Stegostoma tigrinum: one gene and its partner. The protein of the gene in region 2 purifies or fractionates together with the protein of the main gene of each other region. This does not show direct contact. Links are inferred from orthologs where the notes say so. Each region holds a gene or a part of one and is shown on either strand. Other genes may lie near its edges.

Region 1 (4,356 bases), on a different chromosome or scaffold from region 2:
TTGCTGCTGAACAAAGATGATGGCTGTAAATAATATCAAAAAACAGTCTATTTGCCTAGACTGCAGTTTGCATGGTGGCCTTCTTCACCAGACACTTGTGTGTAATCCAAGCCAATACTTGCAATGCTGTATTGAGGCAGTCCTGCACTGTTGGACAGACTATCCACTTGTCCCCTCAATTGAATGTAAATTATCTGTTGCTTTTTTTTGATTTAATACCATGGGAGTTCTTTCCATTTCTTTCCCCCCACCCAGTATGCTGTTGTCAACTAACCTTCTAAAACCAGATGATCTGGCCATTACTGTATTTTTGTGTGTGGGGTCTTGCTTGTGCAATATGGCTGCTGTGCTTCAGTAGTTCTTCAAAACTTGACAAGTACTTAACTTGTTGGGTAGTGTTTTGGAACATTGGAAATTGTGAAAAGTGACAAATGCAAGTTGTTCTTTCACATTGCTTTCAATCACAATTGCTACAGTGAACGTGGACACTGCCCAGTCCATTATGTCTGCATCAACTCTCCAAAACAGCATTGTGACTTAATGCCATTTTAAAACATTGCACATTGTTTCTATTCTTCTAATGCTCTTTTGAATGCCTTGCTTGAACGTCACTCCTTTGCACTTTCAGGCTCTGCATTCCAGGTTCATCTTTCTCACCATAGCTTAAAGTTCCAAACCTTTTTGAATCTTCCACGCAGTTTTTAATCCTTAATGTCTTTTGCTTGGTACACCTGCTCTTCCTGTTTAATGTCTCGATGCCTTTTCTCTCTGATTACACCCTGGTCCTTGCCTACCTCCTTCTGGGCTTCCCCCTCATGTCAGCGGATCGAGCATATTGTTTCTGGATTCTGCTTCATGGCTCAACATCAAATTTTGTTTTATTGTCTTAATTCTTCTCTTGACCCTGTTCCACATTCCATCCTCTCTCTCCAGATCGCAGCCTCTGTTTATTTACTGATTTGAGATCCTTTTGTTTGAGGTTTACTGAGATGTTTCCTCAAAAAATTATGGCTTTCACAATCTCTCGTGTGGTTTTAGCTGTGGTGCAGCAAGTCCTGACTGAGTCAGAATGTCATGAATTCAAGTCCCACTCTAGATGCTTCAGCACAATGACCAGCCTGATATAACTGTGCAGTTATGCGGTGAAGTGATGGCCTTATAGTATTGTTGCTGGACTGTTAATCCAGTGAGCCAGGTATGTTCTGGGAACTTGGTTTCAAATTCTGCCACAGCAGATGGTGGAATTTGAATTCAACTGAAACAAAGCTAGAATTAAAGGTCTTTTGACCATGAAACAATTATTGGGGTGGGGGGTGAAATAAACCATCTGGTTGATGGTTATCCTTCCCCAAAGGATAATTAATCTACTGTTGATTGCAGGGGGAAAACCCATCTGGTTCACTAATTCCTTTTTGGGAAGGAAACCCCTTTTTACCTACATGGGGCTCCAGACCCACACCAATGTGGTTGACTCTTAACTGACCTCTGGGAATTGGCATTAAGAAAATGTACTAAGGAGCACTGAACTGTCTACACTTCAAAACTTTAGCTGTCAAGCTCTTTGAGCTATTATGAAGGTTACTCTCGAAATCCAAACCTTTCTTTCCAAATGCTTGCCCACCAATCAACTATCGTCACGTCGCGGGCTCCCACAAACAGCAGCCAGTGACCGAGATGAAATGGTTTGATGTTCGCTGATGAGGGGGTAAACATTGGCCCTAGGTGAATGAAAACTGTAACCCAGCGACAATACTGCGGCTTCCTAACTGCTGCCTCGCCGAGCACATGTTGCTAATGACAAAACCCCCTTCACTTTGGTTTTCGAAGCTGCTGCCTACCACATTTTCGTTTGAAAATAAAAGCTCCCCTTTGTTGATGCAGGGCTTTGAGATAAAATCTGCTTTAGCAACTTTTGTTAGGGGAGTGTGTCAATTGTAATGACAGAAATGGCGATGATATGACTATTTGTTTTTGATTTTTGTTCTTTCGGGCCAGTCTGAGAAGAAGCTGGGCTGAGAGTTTCACGCAGAGCAGAGATTTCAGTGGGAGTGGTAGGAGAGACACAGGCGCAGTCTCGCCCTGCAGCGTTGTGTTTAGATTCTCGCTGCCTCATAGCCCTGGAATTCAGGACTCGCCGAGAATTCTGTTTCCGTCCAGGGTTTTTTTTATCCCCCCTTTCCTCTCTCTCGGCTAAAGGTGTAGCGCGTACCCATCAGTCTGCACAAACATTCGTCCCCGCTGATCCGGACAAATGGCCAGTTCACCCCAGAAATCCCCATCCATCCCGAAGTCCCCCGTCCCGAAATCCCCCGGCTCCAGGAAAGAGGATTCCTTCCTGGGTAAACTTGGAGGAACTTTAGCCAGAAGAAAAAAGGCCAAAGAAGGTAATTCTTTCTTCTTTGTTTTTAGAAAAAAAACTTGTTTCATGTAAATTGTTCACGAACGTCCTGAAAATGTTGCCTATTTACTTGAAAGAGAAGTTTGCAACAAGTTTCGAAAACTTTTGCAATTTCAGCTGAAAGTGTTCAACTTGGTTTTGCTTTGTGGCTAACGTAACAGCTTCTAAGGCTGCAATGTGAGTGATTTACTCCCTTCATTAAATACTTCATTGTTTTGCAGCCTAAAAGTGGATTTTTGTTTTGTGGAGTTCACAGTTAAGTTCTGGGCTGGGTGTAGCTGGGCGTCCTGTGGAATGTTTTCCGGTTCAGACTCATTTGGTTGGCAATATAAGTTCTGCGGTTGAACTCGAAAGCATTTTCCGAACACCACCCACCCCCCTCTCGTTATCTCTCTGTGCATTGCACAGTTATTGATCAAACACCAAGGTTAAGACCGCAACTCAGGCGGGAGCTGCTTATCTGCACCTTACAGGGGGCAGGTATGCAGGAGTAAGCTGGATTCCTGTCTGCAGGGAAACCACGCCATGTAACAAAACCAAACCCTAGAGCAATAGAATTTCCACTGGCAATATTACACAGCTGTTGTTATCGTGAATGAAAGAATAATGTGTATTTTTTAAATTTTGAATCTTGACTATCTACATTTGTTGTCGGAAATTTAAAAGACAGTACAGGAAAGCCATTCAACCCCTTTTAAGGCTGTTGAAATCATGTTACAACTGCACAAGACATTGGTAGGGCTACATTTGGAGTACTGCCTACAGTTCTGGTCGCCCTGCTGGAAAGGGTGCAAGCATTTTTTTAAAAGGATGTGACCGATACGGAAGGTTTGACTTACAAGGAGAGGCTGAGTAGGCTGGCTCTGTTTTCTGAGCACCCTTAGAGGCTGAGGGGTGACCTTGTAGAGGTTCATAAAATCACGAGAGGCCTAGATAAGGTGAATAGCCGAGGTCTTTATCCCCAGGTTAGGGGGGGAAAATTAATAGGGACCAGGGGGGCAGCTTTTTCCACACAGGGGGTAGTGCATATATGGAATGAGCTGCTAGAGGAAGTGGTAGAGATGGGTACAATTAGAACATTCAAAAAACATTTGAACAGCTATGTGCATAGGAAAGATTTAGAGGCATACAAGCCAAACAGGGGCAAATGGGACTAGTTCAATTCAGGAAACCTCATCAGCATGGCTGAGTTGGGCCAAAGGGCCTGTTTCAAGGCTGTATGAGCCTATGATTCTAATTGGAGTATGGCTGATCCCACATGCTTAAGTGGAGAAGACTTGTGTGTTAAGTAGTGGTAACTTGAGCCAAATGACTGCTTTTTGCCCTGTGTACTTGCTGTAATTCTTCAATTCCATTAGTCTGTCTTCCTGTCCATGTTCTACCTTTGTGTGAGTTCTCTTCTGCTCAGGATTTGGGTATACTTGACTTTGTACTGAATCCATACAGACCAGGGTGCACAGCATGATCTGCTGTGCCCACTGTTTACACGGCTGGTATGTTAATTGGCACTTCAAGCGGTCGTGCCTCGGCTCAAAAATTCAACAAGTAGAAATATAGTTGGGCTGCGCTGAGAGCGTGTTTCTCACAATACTGTTGTTGTTGTTTGACTGCTGCACAAGTTATGCAAGACCTTTATGAAACCCTGCTTGGGCCCATCCTGGGCTCAATCCGTAATTGTTTGAGAGAGGTAAGTGGTTATAATTTTGGGGGGTCACCACTCTGCATCAAACATGGCTGAACAGAAACCTAACCCACTCTTTACTGCCTACATTTGATTACCAACCTACATGACCATGTCACAAATGGTGTTTCAATGGTCAACAAGGTCAATGGTGGATGTTAACTCTGAGCTTATGGCTCAGACAGATATCACCAACTGACATATAACGCCCTGTCCTCAGCTGGTGTATTGTGCCCAGTTCTGGAAAATGATGTCCAAGCCGTTGAGAAGATGCAAA
Region 2 (4,356 bases):
ATAAACATTACATTGTAGCAGCTCAGTGCAGGGCTTCCACACGTGGCCTGACCACCTGCAACAGACCTGAGTCGAACAGCTATCCCGCTCTACTCCAAGCCTCCAGTATACTCCATACTGTATTGTCCCAAGGTAAGTTCCAGGACTGCCCCCACCCTGTGCTGGTCTCTGCCTGGGACTCACTGCCCATGCGCTGCCACTGCCCACACACTGCTCCGGGGCTGCTTCCCCCGCTGCTGCTCTGGGCTTGCAGCCCACTTCTGCCAGTGCTCCAGGATTCACCTTCAGGGCTAAGGAGAGAGAAAAAGACAAAGAAAAAAAAAGAGAAAAATCTACAGGCGGAGCAGAGGAGATCTGGCAGGAGCATCTTACTCTGTTGCCATCTTTTTGATTATTACTTTTACAGAGAAATTTGAGGGAGAAGCAGAATATTGGGTTATTGCTGCTGCAGTTGTGATATACCAACTTACTCATTGCAAGTATAACTTTGAAATATCAATGCAGGCACAAAATAGTGATCATCTCGCCACTTAGCTCATAGCATACAATAGAGTGACTGTCATTTTCTGATTCGCTGAGGATTTGATGAATTCTGGTGAGATAATCATCACTTTTCAATCTCTGCAAAGTTAAAATGAGCAGACCAAGTGCACAATTATTTTAAGGTTTCTCACATTTTGAATTTAGAATAAATTTAAAATTAAAATGTGCTTCATACTTACGCCCTTTTATGCCCTTTTGCATTTAAAAATGTTGAAATGGTTTTGGAGTCAAAATTATCAATATTACTGTAGCATTAAACATTCCAGAAACTTATGTTGTGTCGATGCTGCTATGAATATTGACAGTATTGAACTGACATATGGTTGGAAATGTCAGTAGGAATGAGAAAAAGAAGTTTAAAGTAAAGCAAGAGACTGGAGATATTGTAAACCCTATAAAAATCTACAAGTGAACTGACTTGATATTTCCAGCATTCTCTGCTTTAATACAAGATTGTTTATTTGTTCACTATTTCATTACTGCTAGGCTGCTTTTTGAATGGAATATTTTCACACTTAGAAGGAGATACATCTGTGAATTAGTCAAAGCATTCTGATCAATAATCCCACCACACTGCATCAAAGTAACTGCCTATTCCTCCTTCTGCAGAAAACGTGATTTCTGTGTCCTTGCTGATGTTTGTGCTTAAGCTTTGTAAACATTGGCTTCATTTCTGAAAGATTTCTAATCCTGCATCTGTTCCTGCCAAAAATAACCAAGAGCTAAAATTGGAGCTACTTCAAAATATCAGTAGCCATGAAAAAATTGACCTTCGTATATCAAGGAGGTTTCACTGGCAGACAGAAAGGATTTGCCCTGTTGTTTATTGCTGAGGCAGAAGGGAGGCAGCAAGAAGATTTGGGATATTGTACCTTTTCTTACCTTGGTCTCTGAAACGTAACAGTGAAAAAAACAAACATGTGTTCGCCTAGAAAGGTAAGCAATACTTCTTATCTAAAATATCAAGTATTATTTCAATATTTAACCAGCATAAAACTCTTCAGACACGGTTATAATGTAAGCTAAACACCCTTTGTCAGTTTATACTAATGGTTAAAAGTGCTGAAGTTGAACTCTGACATTTGAGTTACTATTTCAGGTCAAAAATAAAATACAGAATGCACCATCAACCTCTCGAAAGATTTTTTTAAAATAATACCTTATAAACCAGTCACAAGTAGAATTGAAAAAGGAACAAACTTGAACTTGCATAACAAATTTCATAATTTCAGGTTATCGCAAAGCATCCCACAGCCAGTGCAGTATTTTCGCACTGTAGCCAGTGCTGTAATGTAGACAAGTGTAACAAGGTGTCACAAATTGCAGTGTGAATAAATAGTCACAGAGTCATAGAGTCACCCAGCACAGAAACAGACCCTTTGGTCCAACCAGTCCACACTGACCATGTTCTGAAATTAAACTAGTTCCACCTGCCTACGCTTAGCTCATTTCCCTTCAAACTTTGCCCATTCATGAACTTATCCAAATGTCTTTTAACTGCAACTGTACCTGCATCCAACTGTTCCTCTAGCAGTTCATTTCCATGTATGACCCACATTTTATGTTAAAAAATTGCTCCTCGTGTTCTTTCTATATCTTACTTCTCTCAGCTTAAAAATCTGTCCCCTGGTTTAGAATTTCCCCATCCTAGGGAAAGAATATCCTTGTCATTCACCTTATCTATGCCCCTCATGATTTTATAAACTTCAATAAGGTCACCCCTCAGCCTCCTATACTTCAATGAAAAAAGTCCCAATCTTTCCAGTCTATTTTTATGTCTCAACTACTCCATTCCTGGAAACATCCTGGTAAATATTTTCTGAACATTCTCCAAGTTAATAATATCATTCCAATGACATGGAGACCAGAACTGTACTTAGTACACCAGAAGAGGCCGCACCAACATCCCGTACAACCTCAACATTATGTCCCAATTCCTCTACTCAAAGGTCTGAGCAATGAAGGCAAACTGCTAAATGCCTTCTTAACCACCCTATCCACATGTGATGCAAATTTCAAAGAACTATGTACCTGAACCCCTATGTCTCTCCGTTCTACAACTCTACCCAAATGTCTGGACAGTCTGTTTTGGTGGTGTTGTTGTGAGATAATATTGTCTGGAACACCTAGGGAACTCTTGTTCTTCTTCAAACAGTGTTATGCGATTGTTTATTTCTACCTGAAAGGATTTTCAGAGTCTCAGATTAAGATCTTATCTGAAGTACAGAAGCTAAGACAATGCAGCTCACACTATACTAAAGTATCAATCAAGATTATGTATTCAAGTGTGACATAAGGCCATGACATACGATGCAGAATGCTACAACAGAAGCAATGCTGACACTTATATGTACTCATAATTACTAGTTCATGGCACAAAGGGAAATGCAGTCACCATTTTGTCTTATTTATTGCTTGTTCCTTTGGTTTGTCATTTGTGTATAAGATCTTTTCATCCCCTACATCGAGGGTGTATTTTATGATCGAGATAGGATATCGCTTACTGATGCCATCAATACCATTGTGTAACATGTTCCACCTAAAAAGTTTTAAACCAACTTCTCCAGGTGGCCATTGAGTCTAGTGTAAGATGACACTCAGTCCAATGACTTGTCTACTGAATCATGGTTAAGTAGAAAACCTTAGGCTAGAATTTTATGGTTCTCACTTCAGGAGTGGGCTAGTGTGAGTGGGGTTGCTGTACATGTAAAAACTATTTATCTGAGCTACGTAAATTCGACTTGTGCTTTGCAAAGTTGAGAAGATAAGCCCACCCTGACATTTTCAGCCAATGGATGAGGCCACAACTTTTGCAGTAAATCCTGGCTATGGTGTTCTACAAAACACAACAGGGTCATATGGCTGTTTTAGAGCTTTTGATGTCTGATTTCTCCACTCATTCTCCATTCTGTTTTCAACTCCATTCATTTATTTTTCAAACATCTCTTTCAAGAGCTCCAATTAAATTCTACACTACCAAACAGTCACTGTCAGCCTTCTCTTCAGTGGGATCTTATAACCACGCTCCTATCTACAACCTCCCAAATCATTCTTAGTATGTTGTTGCCTCAGACTGCTGGTACGCACTGTGCTGCACTGTTATCAATCCTTCAACAGTAACAGCTCAAGTATGACAGATCCTGTAGTAGATGGTGCATGAACGTTGAAAAACAGAAATGTAGCTTCAACAGTAGTCCATTGATATTCAATTATGTAAACACCAGAAACATGGGATTCTCTCAATCTCTTGATAAAGGTACAGTGGATGACCTGTAAATTTATGCTCATTTATGTTGCTCAGGGAATTAGACCTTGCTGAAGTGACAGAGATAAGATTACCATTGTATGGTGTGATTACTGCACTTTCTTTCTGATTTCTAATTCAGTGCAATCATAATATGTATGTTTCAGATCATTAGATTGAGTGCACTTGACAATTACCAGTACATTCTACTTTTTATGCAAATAATTGTGTTGCTGAGTGCTACAAATTCTGAACACATCATATTGTCGTCTAAAATATCTCTCAGTAATGTGTAAGATCCTTTGCATTGTATTTCACATAAACTGTACTTTCGGGAATCTCGGGAAAGTATGTGTTTTCTGTGGAGCTGAGAGAATGTGGGTGTCGTCATTTGATTTTGGGAATTTAGGAAAGCCAATAAATTAAGTAGTGCACACTTACTACTGTCTTGCTCTATTCCAAAAGTCAATTCCCCAGTTCTCTTCTAAAGTATGTGAATCATTTGACAAATGTATTCCTGTACTATGGCATGGCTGATATCACAGCATTCCCATGATTGGCTGTGATCA

Evidence for each region.
Region 1: the proteins of rsu1 (region 2) and parvaa purify together in Homo sapiens (affinity purification with mass spectrometry; 3 studies listed by BioGRID and IntAct, counting the BioPlex papers as one, with this or other methods). This does not show direct contact. The link is inferred for Stegostoma tigrinum from reciprocal best matches to the Homo sapiens genes RSU1 and PARVA.

The regions. Positions count from the first base shown.
Region 1 is NC_081370.1:37,379,705-37,384,060, forward strand, and holds the start of parvaa (parvin, alpha a), read left to right. Parts: upstream 1-1,797; 5' UTR 1,798-2,251; coding exon 2,252-2,384; intron 2,385-4,356. UniProt on the Homo sapiens protein: Plays a role in sarcomere organization and in smooth muscle cell contraction. Required for normal development of the embryonic cardiovascular system, and for normal septation of the heart outflow tract.
Region 2 is NC_081355.1:114,645,828-114,650,183, reverse strand, and holds the start of rsu1 (ras suppressor protein 1), read left to right. Parts: upstream 1-1,345; 5' UTR 1,346-1,461; coding exon 1,462-1,479; intron 1,480-4,356. UniProt on the Homo sapiens protein: Potentially plays a role in the Ras signal transduction pathway. Capable of suppressing v-Ras transformation in vitro.